4 linked regions of the Caenorhabditis elegans genome follow. The protein of the gene in region 1 binds, or shares a complex with, the protein of each later gene. Each region holds a gene or a part of one and is shown in the gene's direction. Other genes may lie near its edges.

Region 1 (6,182 bases):
ACACAATGTTCAACAGCAAACGAATCGGAAATGTGGCCTTAAAAACGGTACGTGCACCTCGGTGAGTCAATTGCTAGTGGGTTATTCTAATTTTTCGTTTTTTTTCAGAGAAAGCTCATTCGTGGATTACATCACCGACTTAAACGCGAGAAAACAGCTGCAACACTCGTATCCAACGGACCTGCTGTCTAAATGTAGCGAAGATTTGAGGTTGAACTTGTGAATGTTACGAAATTCCGCAAATAATCCATTTAATTTCAGGCAGCTTCCACCTTATGTGTATGCTGGTTTCGATCCAACTGCTGAGAGCCTTCACATTGGAAATCTTCTGATTCTCGTCAATTTAATTCGTGCACAGCAGTTTGGAATACGTCCAATTGCATTGATCGGAGAATTCACTGCCAGTATTGGAGATCCGAGCGGAAAGAAATCAGGTTTTTACCTAGAAAAGCGCTGAAAACTCAATAAATCATGACCTTCAGAACGGGGTCTTCTGGCCGGCGATGTAATTATGCACAACTCGAGGAAAGTAACAGATCAGATCTGCAAGATTTTTGAGAACGCGCCGGGATCAAGCGAGAAGCCGATCATCGTGAACAATAATGATTGGCTAGGAAAGGTAGTCATTCGGCTTGCTATGATGAGAAAGAAAATGTTATATTTTTCAGATTAGTCTACGAGATTTCCTGAGAGAATGCAAGAATATGCAAGTCGGAAAGATGCTTCGAATGAATACGATAAAGAATCGGCTGGAAGTTGGATTATCGTACACTGAATTCAGCTATCAAACAATGCAAGCATTCGACTGGTACACGTTATCCGAAAAGTATGGATGTCGATTCCAGCTTGGTGGATATGATCAATTGGGTCACCTGGACTTTGGAGCTCACTATATTAAGAAAATGATGAATCAAGCCTTCGCTGCAGGAGTATGCTTCCCGATTCTGACGGATTCTACTGGTGCCAAGCTCGGAAAGTCTGAAGGAGGAGGTGCGCTGTGGCTTGATGCGACGAAGACGTCTCCGTTCCATTTCTATCAGTTCTTCGCGCAGCTTCACGATGACAAAGCGGAAGAGCTTCTGTTACTTTTCAGTTTGCAAGATATCGAACATATAAGAGATGTTCTGAAGAATCATAGGAGCAATCTTGGACAATGGATTGCTCAGAGGGAGTTGGCCGCCGAAATTACTCGAATTGTGCACGGAAAAGAAGGTTTAGAAGTGGCGATGCGGTGTACAAAAGCAATGTTTGGAGCCAAGAAGGCTGATTTATCGGGATTGTCGAGAAGTGAAGTATTGCAATTATTCAGAACAACAATTGACTTGAAAAAGGAGAATGTAAGCATCAAAAAATTAGTTGTCGAAGATTTTATTCTTTTTCTTCCCAGGTAGCAACAATGGGCCAACTCGCGGACGCATCTCGACTAGGCAGTGGGAAAGGTCATCTTTTGATGCAACAAGGAGCATTTTCAGTGAATGGAGAGAAGAAAAGATCTCCATCGGAATCAATAGCAGACGTTTTCCTGGAAAATGCCTCCGATCTCACCCTTGTTTGTTGGGGAAAACGAGGTTACCAGCTGGTTCGATGGGTTTGAATAGGTTCAGTTTTAGTTGTTATAATGAAAATAAATATTCATTTTTTTGTTGTATTTGTGGTGTCATATTCTCGGCGTTCTCTACGCTTTATTATATCTCTTTTTCTCGTTTCCAAGCATATTTTTTGTATTTTATTCCTGAATAATTTTCGGCTCGTCTCTATTCGCATGAGCGGAGGAGTAGTGCACAGCAAACTTCAAAAGCTCGTTCTCTCCACCTACCGTGATTTTTTGCGCGCCTCCCGTGGCCGTGACCCGAGCATTCGCACGCATATTCGGCACGAGTTCCGCGCCGCTGCAACACGTTTCGAGCCAAGTGACCTGTTGCTCATTGAGCATCATTTGAGAAGAAGCCAGAGACAGCTGGAAGCGATTCGGAAAGGACACATTGAGAAGATCGCAACGGTTGATAGCGCCGCGAAATAAAGGTGAATGAGTTGAAGTTTGATGTGCATTTCTCCTTTTTGCTCGTTCACAGTTCCATATTTTCTAAACTGCATGTACAATATTTCAGATGGCTGACACTCGTGAGCTTCCAGTTTTCGCCTACATTGATGATGTCAAGCAGCTCCAAGAGCTCCGTCAATACCTCAACAAGCACGATAGTGTGAAGCTTGATCCAAATGGTGCGGAAAACTTGTAAAGCTGATTTTTTCGATATAATAATTATGGATTAATCCAATCTTTTTGGATCTTTATCATTTTCAGGTCGATCGACTCTTTTTCAACATTTCTGTATCAATTTCTTTCTCAAAAAATTGAATATATCATGTGGAAACGGCAATTCTACAAAATTTTCCTATCGCACCATGTTGTTCCCACTTTTTTTAAAATTTAAATTGTTCTAAAAATATATAAAATCAATTGATTTGGCCTTAAATAGTATTTATTTTAGTTTAAGCATTTGAAAATTGCTTACAAATTGCCATTTCTCAACTAAAATCAACGATATTTTCAGATAAACAAAGTGATTTTCTATGTTTTCACATTATTTTTAATGAAAAATGTTAGAACAACATGATGCAATAGATCATTTTGTAGAATTTCTCCCATGGAAATACGTAAACTTTCAGAAAAGATTTGCGGTACAGCCCTGCTTCAGAATTTGGATTTAAAAAATTTCAGGACCATCAGAGACCGCCCAAAACATGATCGAAATCTGCTCCACTCTCAACGTGCTTCCTTCATGGTCCCAGGACGTCGATCTGGTGCTCAACTCGATATCATCTCTTATCGTCGTTGTGCCAGGCGAGAAGTGTGAGCCAGTCGTCGACTCATTCATCAAGAATGTTGCTCCACAATTCTACAAGGGAACCGGATGGGCTAGTCACGCCGGAATCGCCGTTCGTGTGCTCTCGAATTTGTACAAGGGATACTCGAACTTCCATACTGTACAGGAGAAGATCTTCAAGGCGCTCGTTGATATGTGCGCTGAAGCAAGACTCATTGGAGAGCTGGAATGCAATCTTGAGACTCTTCAAGATAGATTCAACACATGGAAGACGCCAGTCGAGGGACAACGCGAGATCTTGAGAGCAGTTCATCGTGCACTTCTTGTTGATCAGAGAGTTGATCAGGCTGCCAAGGTGGGTTTGATAAAGAACTATCGGTTTTTATACTTAGCTAGACACAAAAACTGCCTTTAAAAAAATTATGGCGGTTAAATATTGCTTAATTTCTGCTAAAGTCTTCAATTTTGCAAACTGTCCCGTCTCGCGGCTTGAACACAGTTTTTATTGAATCTTGGTCTCTTATCTCACACTGTTTTGTTGTTTGCGGTACATTTGAGGGTGATGTCACCAAAATGTTCAAAATTTGGCCAAAAACCCCAAAAGTGGACAAAAATGCCAAAATTTCGCCAAAGAATGAACAAAATTCGATCAAAATTGAACCAAAATGGCCAAATTCCACTAAAAATTGAGCTAAAATGACTAAATTGAACGAAAAGCGCGAAAAGTAAACCAAAAATGACAAAATTTCTACTGAAAATGGCCTGTAAAGTTGGCCAAAAAGTGGACCGACTTTTGTCTAAAACAACAAAGATTGGACCAAAATTGAACCTTTTCTTCATAATTTGAAGTTTCCATAATTTAACAAAAAATTACCGAAAACCACCGAAATAAGTTTATTTCTGACCGTTGGGACACGAGAAGTTGGCAAATCAGAGATTTTAGCTGAAATTAGCGAAATTTTTCGAGAGAGATTTAAATCGCCGTAGAAATTTGAGAAATTTTTCAAATCACGAAATTTTTTTTTGAGTCAATACAAGCTAAAACGCCAAAATCATAAGTCCTCATAACCTTTAAAAAAGTGTTTCCAGGTTATGACTGCACTTCTCGGAACATACACAGAAAAGGACGCTGCCGCAGCACGAGATGATGCTATGGAATGTGTTAGAACTGCTGTCGTCGATCCGAAATCATTCTCCTTTGATCATCTCGAACGACTCAGTGCAGTCAAAGCGTTGAAGACTTCCGATCCACTGATGTTCACAGCTCTCGAGTTGTTCATCTCTGGAACTCTCAAGGATTATAAGGAATTTGTTGCCAAGAATCCGAAATTTGTCACCGAGCACTTGAAGGTTGACGAGACTATTCTTCTCAAGAAGATCCGTCTTTTGACACTCATGTCGCTTGCTGAAGAGAAGAACGTACGTTTGGATATTACTGGGTCTCGCCACGCTCACAACGAGTTACTGTAACTCGTTTCGAAAATCTTGGCAGCAATTTTATTGAAATTTATGATTCAAGGGAAAAGTTTTAGTGTCAAAATAACACATTTTTATCGTTTTTCGACTGCAAAATTACAGATTTTAAGACTAAATAACGGCTTTGGCGAATGATATTACATAGACGATTAAAGAGGAGAAAATGGGTCTCGCCACGCTCACAACGAGTTACTGTAGCTCGAATTACGAACTGCTTATATGTTTTTTTTTTATTTTCGCAGAAATTTTTCATTTACCTTCCAATCAAAATTCAAGAGCACTTCTAAGCTGAAAACCTGAAATGTAAAGCTAAAAATTATAAATTGCAAACTTTTCGGATGAGAAACATCCATTAATGTGGATTTCCAGGTTAAAAACATGCAATTTTCGTAAAAATTTTAGTGTAAAAATACAAAAAACCAAAATTTCACACTTTTTTACTGCAAATTTGCAGATTCTAAGACTAAAAAACGACTTTTTCCGAATGAAAACCCGGCCAAAAATGAGGATTTTTAGGTTAAAAACCTGTCATAATCTCTTAAAATTACAATAACTCGTCTCTAGGAAATCTCCCGAAAAACCTATAATTTTGTGGAAAATGTTGAATATTCCATTTCTGTAAAGAGCGAAATCTCGAATTTTAACAATTTTTCAGTTAGAGAAAGCTCAAAATTATTTGAACACCTTTGAATGCGAAAATGTTGAATTTTCGTTGAAAAATTGGATTTTTAGCGCGCCGAGACCCATATTGCAAAAATGTGAAGTTACGATACAGTAACTCGTTGTTTGCGTGGCGAGACCCATATGGAAACGTCGGTTGGCTATATAACATTTGAAACGTCCGAATTAAATAAAAATTGCTGAATTTTTCAGGAAATCAGTCTCGACGAATTGGCCAAACAATTGGACATTCTTGCCGATGAGACCCTCGAAGAATTTGTGATCGACGCGATTCAGGTGAACGCGATTTCCGGAAAAATCAATGAAATGGCCCGAACTCTCATCGTCAGCTCCTACCAGCACAGAAGATTCGGAACGGAACAATGGGTTCTACTCGAGGTATATAATATTTACTCGTTGGGTTTCCATTTAAAAATTGATTTTTTTCCAGAAACGCCTGAAAGTCCTCATCGCAAATCTGAAGCAAACGCACAACAACGTCCATGAAGTGAATCAGAGAATCGAGGCTCTCTAATTGTTTTTTTTTCGCTGTTCTTTTTAATATATTTGTTTTTGGTTCTCCCTATCGTATTTTCTTCCCATGAAAGTCCCCCGTTTTGTTGGTTCCCTCCTCTATAATTTCTATCTCTCTCTTGAAAAATTTCCCCATAAACTGTTGATTTAAAAAAAGAAAATGTTCCCCACTCTTCTGACTTAATATGGATTTTGTTCACTTCGAAACCCGATTATTTCTATTTATCCGTCGCTTTATCTTGTTTTTTTGTTATGCGATAAGCACACGGGCGTCTCACTTTACACTGATGCTCGTGGAGCCGGAGGGACAAGAGATTAGTCTCTTCCGCTTCGATGATAATCAGATGTTTGTCACTTGACGGACGAAGCCAATCTTTGTTCTTAATTTTCAGAGTTCGGAGAAACTAGCCTTTTTTTGAAGAAAAGTCCAAAAATTCTGCTAATGAAAACGGGAATTTTAGTTAATTTTCCTTTTTCTCAAATTCTTTTTGAAATTAAATTTAAAAAATTCGAGTCATATTTAAAAAAAAACCATGCCTTCTCTATTTTGCACATTTTAGAAGTTACTGCCGCATTTTTTTTCCAGATTTTGGTACATTTTCAGTCGATAGGTGCACAAAAATTGGAAATTCGTGCGCCTATAGACTGTAATTGTACCAAAATATGCGAAAAAAATGATCTACAAAA
Region 2 (4,642 bases), 3.6 Mb from region 1:
AATTTTACCTGAAAATGTGCATTTTTGACTGAAAATGTGACCGGAAACATCAATTTTCTTTTGTTTTGCTTCACTTTTTTAAAGTTTTCTTCAGTTTTTGCATTAAAATAACTGATTTTTCACAGCTGGAAACCCTCACAAAACCCGGAATTTTCGCTAAAAATAGGCAATTTTCAGTCAAAAGTCAACTGAAATTCTTCCAAAAAACGTCAAAATTTCCAAAAAAAATCCCCCAATTCCAGACAACACATTCAATTTTTGCTAAAAATTCCAAAAAAAAATATCAGCAAACTGACAGAAAATTTTCAAGTTTTAATCAAAATTGGCCAATTTTCCTTTTGAAAAACCTCAACTTTTCGGTTCAAGCTCAGAAAATTAGCTGAAAATCCGAAATTTTCAACTGAAATTTCTTTAAATCAACTCAAAAATGCAAAAAATTGAATGAAAAAATCGAAAACTCAGCCAAAAATCGGCCATTTTCAACTCTGAAAAATGCCAAATTTTCAGGTAAAAATTCCTCAAAACCCCCCGAAATTTTGGCTAAAAATGTCAATTTCCAGCGCATAAAACTTGTAAATTTTCAATCAAAATTCTGAAAAATCCCGAATTTTAAACTAAAATTCCTTCTTTTTTTTCAGAAACAATGGACGCCGTCGTCAACAACATTTTCGACCTCTACGCTGGAAAACGACTGGCAATTAAGCTCGCCACAGACGCCGCCAGCACAATTCTCAAAGTTGATCAGATTATTATGTCAAAGCAGGCGACTGGAGGACCAAAACCACGTGGACCAAAGGCTCAAGATGAGGATGACGATGGAATGGCCTAATTTTTTTGTGTGCATTTTTGCTGAAAAATTGGGGAAATTTGAGTGAAAATGAGCTGAAAATCGATTTTTCAGCGAAATTTTAGACAATTTTCCCCCACTTTTTCAGATTTTCCCCTCGAATTTCCCCGCCGTTTCCCTGGGAATTGAGCTGAAATTGCAATTATCTTGAAAATTCGCTTAACAGTTTTTAGCTCATTTTCCACCATTTTTCCCCGTATTTTTTAAATTTTCCCGCTCTATATGCCTTCTCCGTATGATTTTTTGCAATTTCCCCGTTTTTATTGATTTTCGCTGGAAAATGAGCTGAAAATTCGATTTTTGCTTAAAAATTAATTTTTTTTTTTTAACGCGAAAATTCAGTTCCAAATTTACTCGATTTTGGTCAAATTTAGCTAAAAATTTGCATTTTTCAGCCAAAATTTTCCAGTTTTTGCCAGAAAATGGGCTTAAAATTGTCATTTTCTTCTGAAAAATCGAACTTTTGCCCCATTTTCAGCCGAATTTCAGCCTTTTTCCTCCAATTCTCCATAATTTTTAATGCTATCCCCCAACCCGTTCTGAATCTGAAAATCACAGTTTATGATCTTAAAATTGCGCCTTAAATTCTATAATTTTCAGCTTTTCCCCCTCGAAATTTTGTTTTTTTTTCTCGTTTTTTGCTTCACGTTGTGTTTGTTATAAAATTCTCCAAAAAAATCACAAAAAATTAGAAATTTTAAAGAAAAAATAGTCGAATTTCCTATATTTTTATCTGAAAATTCCCCCCAAAATTTTGTTGTAAAATTTCCACAATTTCAGCTGAAAATGAGCGGCGAAATTGAACGTTCACAGGAGGTGGCGGTCATTTTTGCACAGGATACCGATCACAAGGCTCAATATGAAGCGTAATATTTTTGGATTTTTGAGAAAATTTGGAGCTAAAAATGTGAAAATCTGGAAATTTTTAGCAAAAAATCCCAAATTTTTGTATTTTTCATTGGAAAATCTGAATTTTGTAAATTTTCAGCTGAAAAAATATGAAAAAAAAAAAACGATTTTAGCTATGTAGAAATTTTGAAAAAAAAACGAATTTTCACGCAAAAACATTTCCTAATTTAAAAAATTAGTAAAATTCGCGAAAAATTGAAATTTTTATCTTTTTTTTCCAGAAAATCTGAAATTTTCAAATTTTTATACTTAAAATCTGAAAAATTCTATTTAAAAACTCAAGTTTTCATTTATTTTCTACGAATTTTGAAATGAAAAATTCTTACAAATCCCGCACTTTTTTCGTTCAAAAATTGGAAAAAAACTAATTATTAGCTAAAAAATTTCCAATTTTTGTATCAAAAAACTCGAAAATTCTCAAATTAAAAAAATTTTTTAATTTTTTTGCTGAAAATCACGCTAAAAATTTCAGCTTTTTCACGTAAAATGTGATTTTCTGAAATTTCATGTAATTTTTTAGCTAAAAAGCCGAAATTTTCTCGATTTTCAGACAAAAAATTCCCCGATTTTTGCAGATTGGCGAAGCTTTGCAACAAATATTTGCCACAAAATGCGATGGGACGAGTCGATACGGCGGAAATTATTAAAATCATTGATACAGGTTGGAACACGACGAAAATTTCGGATTTTTCAGTGGGAATCTGGCTAAAAATTACGAAAAATGATGAGTTTTGGTGAAAAAATGGACGAAAATCGCTCAAAATTGGACAATTTGGTTGGAATCTGGCTGAAAATCGATAAATCTCGATAAAAATTGACGGAAAACGAGAACATTTTCGGAATTCCTGTTGAAATTTAGCTGGAAATAAATAAATTACATTGAAAAAAATTTTTTTTTGAATTTTTGGAGCTGAAAATTGGCAGAAAATCCGATTTTTTCAGGAAAAATCTTTAAAAATTTACATTTTTTTTTACAAAATGGACTCAAAATTAGCTTAAATCGCTCAAAAAAGGCTGAAAATTCCATATTTTAAGTGAAATATTTTAAGTGAAAAATATGGAATTTTCAGCCTTTTTCGAGCGATTTAAGCTAATTTTGAGTCCATTTTGTAAAAAAAAATGTAAATTTTTAAAGATTTTTCCTGAAAAAATCGGATTTTCTGCCAATATTCAGCTCCAAATCCAAAAAAAAAAATTTTTCAATGTAATTTATGAATTTTCACAAAAATCCAATTTTTCGTTCGTTTTCTGCAGTTTTGTTTTTTTTTTTTGAAAAGTTAAAAATTTCCTTTAAAAAACGCGAAATTTCCAATTTTTCACGGTAAATGTGATTTTCAGCCAGTAGTTTTCAACCGTTTTTTCGCGGGAAAAATTGAATTTCTAAAGATTTTCCTCGAACAATTCGATTTTTCCGGTATAAAAAGCGACCTTTTACCGATTTTTCACAGAAAATTCAGATTTTGAGCCTTTTTCACCCTCAGAAGCCAAAAAAAACCCCCAAAAATTGGATTTTTCTTGAAAAATTTGAATTAAGAAACTCAAATTTTCAAACCGTTTTTCCACGGAAAAAGTGCGTTTTTCAACGATTTTTCTCGAAAATTCTCAATGTTCTGCGTTTTTAAGCGATTTTCAGCTGATTTTTCACGAAAAAATCGAGTTTTCAGGGATTTTGATATATTTTTCTTGAAAAAATCGGATTTTCAGCTGTTTTTTCCACGGAAAAAGTGATTATTTAACTTTTTTTCCAGAATAATTGGATTTTCAGCCAATTTTAGGCTTAAAATAGGGCCTTTTAACGAAAAATGTGACTTTTAGGACATTTTTCAATTTTTCGCATAAAATTAAATAAAAATGGAATTTTTTTACCATTTTTTTTTCAAATTTTCAGGTTCAAAATAAAGCTTTAAAAAAGTGGAAATTTCTAGTTTTTAGGCTTAAAATAGGCTTCTTAGACGAAGATTTTCAAGCTTTTCGTTAAAAAAAACAGGAAAAAATTAATATTTGTATAAAAAAATTGAATTATCAGCTAAAAATTACAATTTTTGCACTGTTTCAGTGCAAAATTTGTATTTCTTTTAGAATTTTTAGCAGCCTATAACCCCAAAAATGTTTGCAGTAATCGCATTGGAGACTGGAAGTATGGTTGTATCACGTCAATTTGTATCACTTATCACTGAAAGATTGGATAATCAACATTTGGAATCAGAATGTGTTAAGGCTATTTCAGAAGGAATTTTGGCGATTATTAAGACTCGAACCATCTCTTATGAGGATCAGGTACTTGGAAATGCACTGCAACTTTTTCCTCACGAGGGACGAGGAACAGTGGTTTCTAGGCCATGGCCGAGGGGCCGACAAGTTTCAGCGGCCATTTATCTTGCTTTGTTTTCCGCCTGTTTTCTTTCGTTTTTCACAGCTTTTTCCCGTTTTTTCTTATTAAAACTGATAAATAAATATTTTTTGCAGATGATAAAACAATTTCGAAGTAAAAAAATTATGTATTCAGTGGGCAAGCAGCGGTGAAAGTGGGCATTGTAATATGATGGATTACGGGAATACAAAACCTAAATTTTTTCTGAAACATGATACATATGATGCTTAGATGCTGAAGCTACCTGATTTTCATATCAAGACCGCTGAAAAAGTTTTGAGGTTTCCAAAATTCAACTTTTTGTGCGAAAATCTCGACTTTTTCACCAAAAAAGTTGAATTGTGGAAATCTCAAAACTTTTTCAGCGGTCTCGTTATGAAAATCAGGTAATTTCAGCATCTAAGCATCATATGTATCATGTTTCAGAAAAAGGTTAGGTTTTGTATTCCCGTAATCCATCATATTGCATTGACCACTTTCACCGCTGCTTGCCCACTGAATACATAATTTTTTTA
Region 3 (5,076 bases), on another chromosome or scaffold:
AGCCATCAACTGATGCCAATCTTCACATTCCTGAGCCCATTCCATTGCAGTTCCTCTGTCCTGAGCTTTAACTGCATCACACAATCGTTTCATCCATTCATCAGAAATCTGCACTTGGTCATTGGTTACTAAATAGAGCAAAAAGTGGAAGTTTGTAGCCTGTTCCAAAAATTGATTTGTAGAGAATTCGGATGAATATTGAATCAAATTTGCACCTCCTTGAAGTTGTCCAATTGCTTGTCGATTTTCAACATTAAATTTGGCACTCTTCGATTTATTAGATGTGCCAACGTGGAACGTGTAGTGAGGCTCTTTTGGCATTCCAGCAGGAACATCCACCAGCAAATATTCAACTGGAAGTGGTCGTCCGTTTTTCATAACCTCGGCTCCGTATTCATTTTTCATCGAAAATTGAACATCAGTTATATAATGTTCTTCGGATAATGGTGTCTCTCGAACATAAGCCAATTCAGGAGTGTACAGTGTTGGACAGAGAATATCAGCTTCAACCATGGCCGCACATTGATTTGAAACTTGATATCCGTGGAAATTAACATGCATCGATTCATCACCAGATGCAACAACGGTCACAAATTTGGATCCATAGTGACGATCCATCGAGTACTCTGTGATGTTTGGATGTTGATTTTGAAGCATTGCTGCGGTGATGCATTCCTCAGCTGATAGGAAGAAGGAATCCTGAAAAATTATTCGTTTTTTGGGCTTCTCTTCGAGATTGTTCTCACCTTGTGCCGTGTATAATGTACAGTTCCTTCAGCACTATTAGCTGTCCAACAATCTGTGAAGATCCATCCAACACGTTGCAAGCCAAGCATTTCCAGCAAATTGTCAATAGTTTTTTGATTTTTATCCTCCAAAAACTCAATTCCATCTTCACGGCAGTGTTGTGGAGGTTCATAAATTGCAGCCACTGTAGCCTGAAAGTATGAGCAATGAAATAACTCGTCTCAAGAAATGAGTGATGAAGTACTGAACTTACCTTGATTCCTAGTGGAACTTCAAGGTGAGGCTGATACTGTCCAATTAAAAATCCAACACGCTGATGGCCCGATAGTCTCCAATAATCCAAAAACTGATTTACAAGCTCTTGATTTTCAATTTGAATGTTATCAACATGACGAAACTTTTGACGATTCAATGTTACAACCTGTGGTTTGCATTTAGTGCAAATTCCTTTCGGGAACGGCTTGTGAGCATCACAGTTGGGTTTTAATGAACATCGAAAGTTTTCCAGCGGTTTTTTGAGAGTCGTGCCCTTCCCCTGGGATCCAAGGAGCTTGCGAACATGTGCATGGAAGCTCATATGCTTGATATCTTTTTCTTTCAAATATTCTTCATCGAATGGCTGTAAATATTGATATTAGTTTCTATGAAAACAACAGAAAATATCACTTACATCAACAGGCAAACAATTAGTGCACTTTTGACGTACAGGATGCCGACAGTTGGGCCCTTTTGGACGCTGAATTTGACCATCTTGCGTGCTTAAAAAAACATCAACGTCGTTGACACGCTCAGTTTGAGGGACTTCAATTACCATATCTGAAATAAAATAGATTTTTAAATGCAGGAAGATATGCCTTCTAGGTAGTGAATTGAAGATATATAATTTTGAGATTTTGCAAAAATAATGCAGCGGAAAGGGTATCAAATTAGTTTCCATACATATTCAAACATTAAACAGCAAATGAAATAAAACATTTTGTTTTTAGAATAAAAAATGTCATCAAAACTGCCTAGACAACATGAATGACGAGCAAATGCGTACACAAAAAACCGTGCGGCACTCTTGCGAAATCCCATGCAACGCTTGCAATTTTCTTTTTTCCATCACATTTTCCAATTCCTTTCATCAAATTTTACAATTAAAAAAATGTTTTCTCTTAATTTTAGCGTACCTTTTCGAATTTAGTTTGACATTTAAATAATATCAATATAAAAACCTTCTTTCAGTAATGTCTCGACGCGTGGAATTCGATTTATCCACTGAAGATCACTCTGATCGTCGTCGCACCAACACCTTTTCTTGTAAGTTCACAGAATGCTATTTTTCAGAATTGATGAATAAGAGTAAAATGAGTTGAAAAATGTTAAAATTTGAAACAGTTCGAAAAGACTGAAGACTCGGTCCTTTTTTGATTAACCGATTTATTTTAATTCGGCAAACAGACATTTGGAGAATTTGGTCTGAAATAATTTTGCATAAAAACTGCAGATTAACATTCCATGAGCAAAATACATAAAATTCAGAAAAACCAAATTTTCCAAATACTGTTACAGTGAAGAATCAATGCCAATTCTCAGAACTCCCTCATTGTATATGAAAATGACTACTTTTGTCATTTTCAGTGTTTTTCGGTGTCGAATATCCTCAAATCTCAGATTAAATGAATCACAGCTTTATTCATTTGAAAGAAATAATAAATGAAAAGGTGTTCATAAGAGTTCATAAGAAGTTAATCATTTAAAAGCCCGAGAGAGAAGTTGAGTATCAGAGGATCAATGATCGTGCATTGTGAAATCTTTTCAAAAGAAAAATTGATAATCAATCAATAGAGTAATTCTATAAACATATTTATGGTAGTTATTTAGGTGCTTGTTAACAACACAAACTTATCTCATTTCTTAATTTTTAACAGCTTCAGCCGATGAGGATGGAGTTCCAAATGAGGTCGCCGACTACCTGGTCTACTTTTCCCGCATGGTTGACGAACAAAATGTGCCGGAAATTTTGACTCTCTACGATCAAGCTTTTCCAGATCTCACCGAGAGGTAATATTTAATAATCTCAAATTGTTTTCTATTTATCTTTTAATTTCAGATTCTTCCGTGATCGCATGTGGCCCGATGAGAATGTTGTCGAAAGAATTATTGGACCTGGCAACAAGTTGTTCATAATTCTCTACAAGGAACTCTATTATCGCCAGCTGTATGCAAGAAATACTCGTGGACCACTCCTTGTCCATCGCTATGAGTCGTTCATGAACTATCAAGAGTTATTCTCTGAGCTTCTCTCAAGCAAGGATCCAATTCCATTGTCTCTCCCTAACGTGTGGCTTTGGGATATTATCGACGAATTCGTCTATCAATTCCAGGTAATATTTTTTGGTAGAGTTTGTACGTAATATAAATATTCAGGCATTCTGTCTCTACAAGGCTAACCCAGGAAAACGCAATGCTGATGAAGTTGAAGATCTCATCAATATCGAAGAAAATCAGAACGCGTGGAATATCTATCCAGTTCTCAACATTCTCTATTCGCTTCTATCAAAATCCCAAATTGTGGAGCAGCTCAAGGCATTGAAGGTTTGTTTAATTCAATATTATTTTTTTGCTTTCAACTCTACAGTCGTTCCAGGAAAAACGCAATCCGGATTCGGTCGCCGATGAATTCGGTCAATCGGATCTCTACTTCAAGCTTGGATATTTCGCTCTCATCGGACTTCTCCGCACTCACGTTCTTCTAGGAGACTATCATCAGGCTTTGAAAACCGTGCAATACGTGGATATTGATCCAAAAGGAATCTACAATACAGTTCCAACTTGCCTTGTTACTCTCCATTACTTTGTTGGATTTTCTCATTTGATGATGAGAAATTACGGAGAAGCTACAAAGATGTTCGTCAATTGTCTGCTTTATATTCAAAGAACAAAGAGTGTTCAAAATCAGCAGCCATCGAAAAAGAACTTCCAATATGATGTTGTGAGTACTTTCTAAATTTTTTGCACAATATTTGCACAATAATTGAATATCTAATGAAGACCCAATAATATTCTGCCGATTTCAGATTGGAAAGACGTGGGATCAGCTTTTCCATCTTCTTGCAATCTGCCTCGCCATCCAGCCACAAAGAATCGATGAAAGCATTGCTTCTCAGCTTTCGGAGCGATGTGGTGAGCGTATGATGCACATGGCGAACGGGAATATCGATGAATTCAGAAATGCTTTTGCTACTGGGTAGGAAACGAAATTAGTCAAGTAATTGTATAGTATTGTATTGTTGCAGATGTCCAAAGTTCTTGTCTCCAACCACAGTTGTCTATGAGGGAGTCAACCAATCGAAAGAACCACTTCTTCGTCAAACTCAATCTTTCCTGGAAGGTATTGAATCACAGATGGCGTTACCAGTTCTTCGTGGATACCTGAAACTTTACACAACACTTCCAACTAAGAAGCTTGCGTCGTTCATGGATGTTGATGATGAGCACTATGATTCGTTCATTGGAAAGCTTCTCACTTACAAGGTATATATAAGAATTTCCGATGATCTCGAGTGTTGATGTAATATTTTGAATTTCAGATGATCGTCAATGAGCTTGGCAAAGAAGCCGGACCATCATCAGCAGACGACGATGAGCCACAAACAGATATTGACTTTTACGTAGACCGTGATATGATCAATATTGCCGATACCAAAGTTGCTCGTCACGTCGGTGAACATTTCATTCGACATATTCAGAAGTTGCAAGAGGTTCAGGATGTGCTCAAACGACTCGATATCCAGAAACCATGATCCTTAAAAAGTATTTGAGCTAAACGAAACATGACTGGTTGATTTCCGGTTAATTTCGTTTAGTTTCACACCAACTCCCACTCGTTTGTTAACATTATATCTCTTGTTGAAAATTAAAAACATCTCTCCGTTTATTTATACCACTTTCTCCTGTTGTTGTCTTTTCGTTTTGGTCCTAAACTTCCTTTTTTTCTCTTATCTCCCAATTATTTTGTATCCATGGTTCATAATAAGTTTAGTAAATTTTTTTGGTTTTTCTTATGAAGTTAATTTATGATTGTTTATATTCTACGCTCATCGCAACTACTTCTCAATTTTTTCCGAATAATTATTAATCTCTCTTACGAGTAGTCTTGTATGTACAGTGATAGACTGTACTTTGACCTATAGGTCCATGGTTTTCACCTAGAACGTAGTCTTATGTGTATTCTCCCACTAGTTATGCCTGCGTCTCCAGTCTCGAGGGAAGATAAGTAGAACAGGAGGACAACAACAATCTTTTCCATTGATCCCGATTTTTTTTCCCGTTTGTTTTCAAAAT
Region 4 (5,487 bases), on another chromosome or scaffold:
ACACGATAATCTCAAAGTATCCACGACTAGATGAACTTACCGATGCTCCGAAAAGAAATCGAGTTTGTGAAATTATTTGCAATTGTCTGCGTACATTGAACAATTTCCTGATGATGTGGATTCCAACGCCCAATGGAGAAACGAAAACGGCTGGACCGAATGAAAAGCAGCAGGTCTGCAAATTCATCGAAATTGTACGTTTTGGAATTTGAAAAACGATATAAAAATGAATTAAATTATTTCAGGATATTCTGAAAAAACTGATGAGTTGTTTATCATGTGAAGGAATGGATACACCTGGTTTATTGGAACTTCGAAGTACAATTCTCCGATCTTTTATACTGTTACTCCGAACACCATTTGTTCCAAAAGACGGTGTTCTGAATGTTATTGATGAAAATCGGAAGGAAAATTTAATAGGACACATTTGTGCCGCCTATTCATGGGTTTTTCGTCAACCGAACAATACAAGAACTCAATCCACAAAGCAGCAACTTGTTGAACGTACCATAAGTTTATTGCTTGTGCTCATGGAGCAATGTGGAGCTGAAAAAGAGGTGGCACAGTACTCGTATTCAATTGATTGCCCATTAAATCTGCTGAACGGAAATCAAGTGAAACCAACGTTTATTCACAATGTGCTTGTTGTATGTGACAAGATTTTGGAGCACTGCCCGACGCGTGCGGATATTTGGACGATTGACAGGCCGATGTTGGAAGGACTGACGAATCATAGAAATTCAGATATAGGTATGTGTCTCGAAAATGTGTTCATAAATTAAATTACAATGCATTTTTTCAGCTAAAGCCGCGAATTCTCTGCTGAGTCGCTTCCCTGAAAACGACCTTCTTGCTGGTATTTTTTCAAATCGAGAATATTTCTGATTTAATGGATAAATCTGTCAACTCCATCTTTCATCCCAAAAATCCCCGTTCAAAGCCATTAATTCGTCTAGTTGGAAGCTGTTTTAGCGTGTACATAGTCGTATTATTGATTAAAATATGTTCTCTCTTCTTTTCTTCATTTTCTACCGGTCCCAAATTTCCTCATTCTTGACGATTTCATATGAATTCGAGTTTAGAACAAACAAAACGTTCCGATTTTCCTAATTTATAGCACATTTCTTCTCATTTTGCCCTCGGTTTATCTCTTTCTTTTTGTTGTTTCTTTGTTTACGTCTGTAGCATAATATTTTTGAATACAAAACATTTTCGCGATTATCTTTGCATTTTAACTATCAAATTCCTGTCTTATATACGTCTTTCTTCGATGTTCTTACGTTGAATAGAAAATAAAATTATAAAACTTTTTAAATGTTGGATTGATTTACTGAATACTCGGTTCATATATAAGTTATTTAGAGACTATTCTCGTTCTGTAAAATTAACCTGAAATTGTGGAATTGTGATTAAATAATAAATTATTATTTAAATCTCCGCGCAAATGCCCACTGGCGCAAGTGGCGAGTGCTGACGCATCTCCCGTGCACGCGAAACGCGCCAGTAAGGTCTTGCAACGATTTTCTTATGTTCCACTTCCACTTAAATTTATTTCAGCTAAATATTGACCCATTAGCTGTTTTTTGAATTGTTTTCAAAGGGAAAATCGTTTTATTCATTTTAAATTTTAAATAATATTGGAATTTCTGTCTAATTGTGTATCTACTGCTTGTTTGCTTCTTGTTTTGGGATTTCATAATGTCAATTTTGTTTCAGCAATGTCTCGCTTCTTCCATGCTAAGGAGGACTCTGATTCCGACACTTCGTCCAGCGAGGATGAGGTAGAGGATCAAAAAGTGAACAAAAGCGCGAAATTTCGGTAATTATAATCTCCAAAGTAATTCCAAAAGATTGATTAATCTTTCAGCGATGATCTCGATTTCATGGCCGGTCCTGAAGAAGATGAGAAGCGTGTTGTTCGTGCCCAAAAGGACAAAAAATTCGATGAGCTGAAAGGAATTATCAAGCAAAATCGAGATGCAAAGAGCAACAAAGATCTGAACAGACTTCTAACAGGTTTTGATTCTCTGGCCAAAGCTTATGATAAGTCCAAGACGGTCTTTCAACGTCAGAATGTCGCAAATCCAAGATTTTACATAAGGTGAGATATATTTTTAATTTACAGTCACATCATAAAATAAAATGCTAATGAAAACTTAGTAGTTGATATAAAATATTTCAGGTCTCTTGTGGAAATCGAAGACTACGTAAATAAATTATGGGATGATAAAGATGCTAAATCTGCTCTTTCGAAGAACAACGCAAAAGCTCTTCCACCTCTTCGTCAAAAACTGAAAAAATACATCAAGGATCAACAACTGCAAGATCTTGTTACCGATTATCGCGTTAATCCTGACGAGGATGGATATGAAACTCCAGAAGATGAAGACGACGATGATTTTGGAGAGGTTTCTGAATCGAAGGCTGAAAAGTCACCTGGAAAACCATCTGAGAAAGCTGCAGTGAGCGATAGTGACAGTGACAGCGACGATGACGACTCCTCTAACTGGTCTTCTGAACCAGAATCCAATTCTTCTGATGACGAAGACAGTGTGACTAAGATGGAGCAACTTCGTAGGTATTTCTTGAAAAAAGAATTCCGCGTGGAGAGCAAAGATGACAAGAAAGAAAAGAAGAAGAGAGTTATCAGAGTCAAAGAAGCTGTCGAGGAAGACGATGATGCGGATTGGACTCCAGTTAATCGTGAGAAGTCTGTTGTTCACTTTGATCCCAAGGAAGAAGTTACTCATGACGTTATGATTAAGAAACTCAATGAGGTTATGTCGGCTCGTGGAAAACGAACGACAGATCGTAATCAACATGTTGCTAATCTTCGAAAACTTTTGGAGGTATCGGAAGAGAAAGAACTTGGTCTAGGAATCAACGTTAAAATCAGTTTCTGCATAATCTCGGCTCTTTTCGAATTGAACGCTAAAATTAGTGATCACATGGAGTACGAAACATTCATGACCACTCTGCAAACCGTCAACAGCTTGCTCGATCTTCTCATCGGAACTGATCGTGTAAAGTTATCTGTGACATATGCTGAAGAAGATGAAAATCTGAAGGTAATACTTGCATTCCTAAAATTAATAAAAATCCTAATATTTGCAGGATGACACTCAAGAGTATCGCATTCAAGGAAGTATTCTGATTGCTGTGCAAAGATTGGACGGAGAGTTGGCTAAAATTCTTCAAAACGCCGATTGTCATTCCAATGATTATATCGAGAAGTTGAAGGCCGAGAAGGATATGTGCTCACTCATTGAAAAGGCCGAGAAGTACGTTGAACTTCGTAACGATTCTGGCATTTTCGATAAACACGAAGTTTGCAAAGTGTACATGATGCGCATCGAGCATGCCTACTACAAATATCAAGATCAAAATGAGGAGGATGCTGGAAAGTTGATGGATTACTTGTGTAATAAGATCTATACACTTGATGATGAGAAACGATTGAGACAACGTGCTATGCTCTGCCATGTTTACTATCTGGCTGTTCATGACAAGTGGCACCGCGCCAGAGATCTTCTTCTTATGAGTCACATGCAAGCTATCGTTGATCATTCTGATGTCGACACTCAAATCCTCTACAACAGAACTATCTGCCAACTCGGTCTCTGCGCTTTCCGACACGGTTTCATTCGCGAAGCTCATCAAGGACTATCTGAAATTCAAAATACCCAACGTGCCAAGGAGTTGCTTGCTCAAGCTGTTGGAACTCGTCAGCACGAAAAGACTGCTGAACAAGAGAAGATTGATCGTTCCCGTCAAGTTCCATATCATATGCACATCAATGTTGAACTTATGGAGTGTGTCTATCTGATCTGTTCGATGCTTCTCGAAATTCCACACATGGCTAGTTGCGAATTCGAAATGCGTCGTCGTATGCTCAGCAGAAGTTTCCATTACCAATTGAAGCAAAGCGAGAAAGCTTCTCTCACTGGACCACCAGAGAATACCCGTGAACATGTTGTCGCCGCATCGAAAGCAATGTTGAATGGAGATTGGAAAAAGTGTCAAGACTATATCGTCAATGACAAGATGAACCAGAAGGTCTGGAATCTTTTCCATAACGCTGAGACTGTTAAGGGAATGGTTGTGAGACGTATTCAAGAGGAATCTCTCAGAACTTATTTGCTCACATACTCTACAGTTTATGCCACTGTTTCGCTCAAGAAGCTTGCGGATTTGTTCGAACTTTCAAAGAAAGATGTTCATAGCATCATCAGGTATTTGTAATATTTTACTAGACAGTACATAATTTTTTTTTATTTTTTCAGTAAAATGATCATCCAAGAGGAACTTTCGGCTACACTTGACGAGCCCACCGACTGTCTCATCATGCACCGTGTTGAACCTTCCAGACTTCAAATGCTTGCTCTCAACTTGTCTGACAAACTTCAAACTCTTGCCGAAAACAATGAACAAATTCTGGAGCCGCGCACTGGACGTGGTGGTTATCAAGGTCCAGGATCGTGGTTTCCAGGAAGGAACGAGCGGCAAGGAGATAAGCAGAAAGGATCTGGTGGATACCAAGGAGAACGACGTGGAGGACAAGGACAAGACGGAAAGCGAGGAAATTGGGGATCTCAAGGTGGTCAGCAACGTCGTCATCCTCAAAAGCCACGAGCCTTCTAAATATCCATTTTTCAATCGTCTCTCCCATTCGTGGAACCCGCTAATACGCCTTTCATGGCGCCTGCAATTAGTCTCAAAAACTTTTTGCAGGCGCCAATACTTGTTGAATCTTTTATTTAATTGATCAGTTTTTTTGGTAATCCCCCACCCTTTCCCACTTTTCCTTGTTCAGTGTGAGATCTGAACTTTAAAGCTCTCATTTTTCGTTTCCGGTTAGTAGTGTTTAAGTTATACTCTTTCCATACTGTTTTGTTTTTGCTAATTATTTATATTGGGTTGCCGGATATTATTTTAATGAAATATTTAATTTGATTCGTCCAATTTTAAGTAATTTTTTATGAGCCCCGGTTCTGTCCAATCAGTTATTTTCTCAGATCCAACAATAAAAGTAACAAAAAATTAACATAGAATTCATATTTCAGGTTACTGGAAACATAAATTTCGCCTCAAAATGGGTAAAAGGAAGGCATTCATTGATAAGAAAGCCAGTCAAAGTTTTCGATTGGTTCCGGATAATAGGGAAAGAAGTGAACGATTCAAGCCAACTCAAGAACATTTGGAGGAACAGCAAAAGTATGGAGTCTACTACGACGATGATTATGATTATTTGCAGCACATGCGAGCTGTTAATGAGGTTTGTCATCTTAAAATCAATTTGATCAAATACCGAAACTTAAAAAAAAGTGTTTGTTTTTCGATTTTTCAATGAAATCAAAAGATTTTAGGATATGTCAAAAAATAGCTTAAAATTTTGGTCTTTGTACTTCTTTTAAGTAAAAAATTTCTATGTTTTTTTAATCAGCATTTTTTACATTATTTCATAAAATTGAATTTTATGGATGATTA

The links.
Region 2: cif-1 (region 1) and csn-4 share a complex: the UniProt entries of both Caenorhabditis elegans proteins name them as parts of the CSN complex.
Region 3: cif-1 (region 1) and eif-3.L share a complex: the UniProt entries of both Caenorhabditis elegans proteins name them as parts of the eukaryotic translation initiation factor 3 (eIF-3) complex.
Region 4: cif-1 (region 1) and eif-3.C share a complex: the UniProt entries of both Caenorhabditis elegans proteins name them as parts of the eukaryotic translation initiation factor 3 (eIF-3) complex.

The regions. Positions count from the first base shown.
Region 1 is NC_003282.8:4,706,320-4,712,501, reverse strand, and holds cif-1 (COP9/Signalosome and eIF3 complex-shared subunit 1), read left to right. Parts: upstream 1-1,746; 5' UTR 1,747-2,022; intron 2,023-2,108; coding exon 2,109-2,220; intron 2,221-2,719; coding exon 2,720-3,180; intron 3,181-3,914; coding exon 3,915-4,244; intron 4,245-5,174; coding exon 5,175-5,360; intron 5,361-5,412; coding exon 5,413-5,496; 3' UTR 5,497-5,648; downstream 5,649-6,182. Other genes in the region: yars-2 (Tyrosine--tRNA ligase), read left to right, coding at 6-61, 109-210, 262-434, 483-619, 669-1,337, 1,388-1,594. UniProt on the Caenorhabditis elegans protein: Component of the eukaryotic translation initiation factor 3 (eIF-3) complex, which is involved in protein synthesis of a specialized repertoire of mRNAs and, together with other initiation factors, stimulates binding of mRNA and methionyl-tRNAi to the 40S ribosome.
Region 2 is NC_003282.8:1,083,999-1,088,640, reverse strand, and holds the start of csn-4 (COP9 signalosome complex subunit 4), read left to right. Parts: upstream 1-1,627; 5' UTR 1,628-1,633; coding exon 1,634-1,713; intron 1,714-2,331; coding exon 2,332-2,417; intron 2,418-3,872; coding exon 3,873-4,033; intron 4,034-4,642. Other genes in the region: cct-8 (T-complex protein 1 subunit theta), read left to right, coding at 639-829. UniProt on the Caenorhabditis elegans protein: Component of the COP9 signalosome complex (CSN), a complex involved in various cellular and developmental processes.
Region 3 is NC_003280.10:5,619,382-5,624,457, reverse strand, and holds eif-3.L (Eukaryotic translation initiation factor 3 subunit L), read left to right. Parts: upstream 1-1,976; coding exon 1,977-2,049; intron 2,050-2,660; coding exon of another isoform or gene 2,661-2,666; coding exon 2,667-2,793; intron 2,794-2,842; coding exon 2,843-3,116; intron 3,117-3,159; coding exon 3,160-3,327; intron 3,328-3,370; coding exon 3,371-3,724; intron 3,725-3,809; coding exon 3,810-3,979; intron 3,980-4,028; coding exon 4,029-4,266; intron 4,267-4,322; coding exon 4,323-4,535; downstream 4,536-5,076. Other genes in the region: npl-4.2 (Nuclear protein localization protein 4 homolog 2), read right to left, coding at 1-699, 747-938, 1,001-1,366, 1,418-1,561. UniProt on the Caenorhabditis elegans protein: Component of the eukaryotic translation initiation factor 3 (eIF-3) complex, which is involved in protein synthesis of a specialized repertoire of mRNAs and, together with other initiation factors, stimulates binding of mRNA and methionyl-tRNAi to the 40S ribosome.
Region 4 is NC_003279.8:9,975,892-9,981,378, reverse strand, and holds eif-3.C (Eukaryotic translation initiation factor 3 subunit C), read left to right. Parts: upstream 1-1,716; 5' UTR 1,717-1,718; coding exon 1,719-1,819; intron 1,820-1,867; coding exon 1,868-2,101; intron 2,102-2,182; coding exon 2,183-3,068; intron 3,069-3,114; coding exon 3,115-4,232; intron 4,233-4,283; coding exon 4,284-4,641; 3' UTR 4,642-4,953; downstream 4,954-5,487. Other genes in the region: Beta-catenin homolog sys-1, read left to right, coding at 1-194, 246-750, 803-885; T23D8.3 (Protein LTV1 homolog), read left to right, coding at 5,093-5,275. UniProt on the Caenorhabditis elegans protein: Component of the eukaryotic translation initiation factor 3 (eIF-3) complex, which is involved in protein synthesis of a specialized repertoire of mRNAs and, together with other initiation factors, stimulates binding of mRNA and methionyl-tRNAi to the 40S ribosome.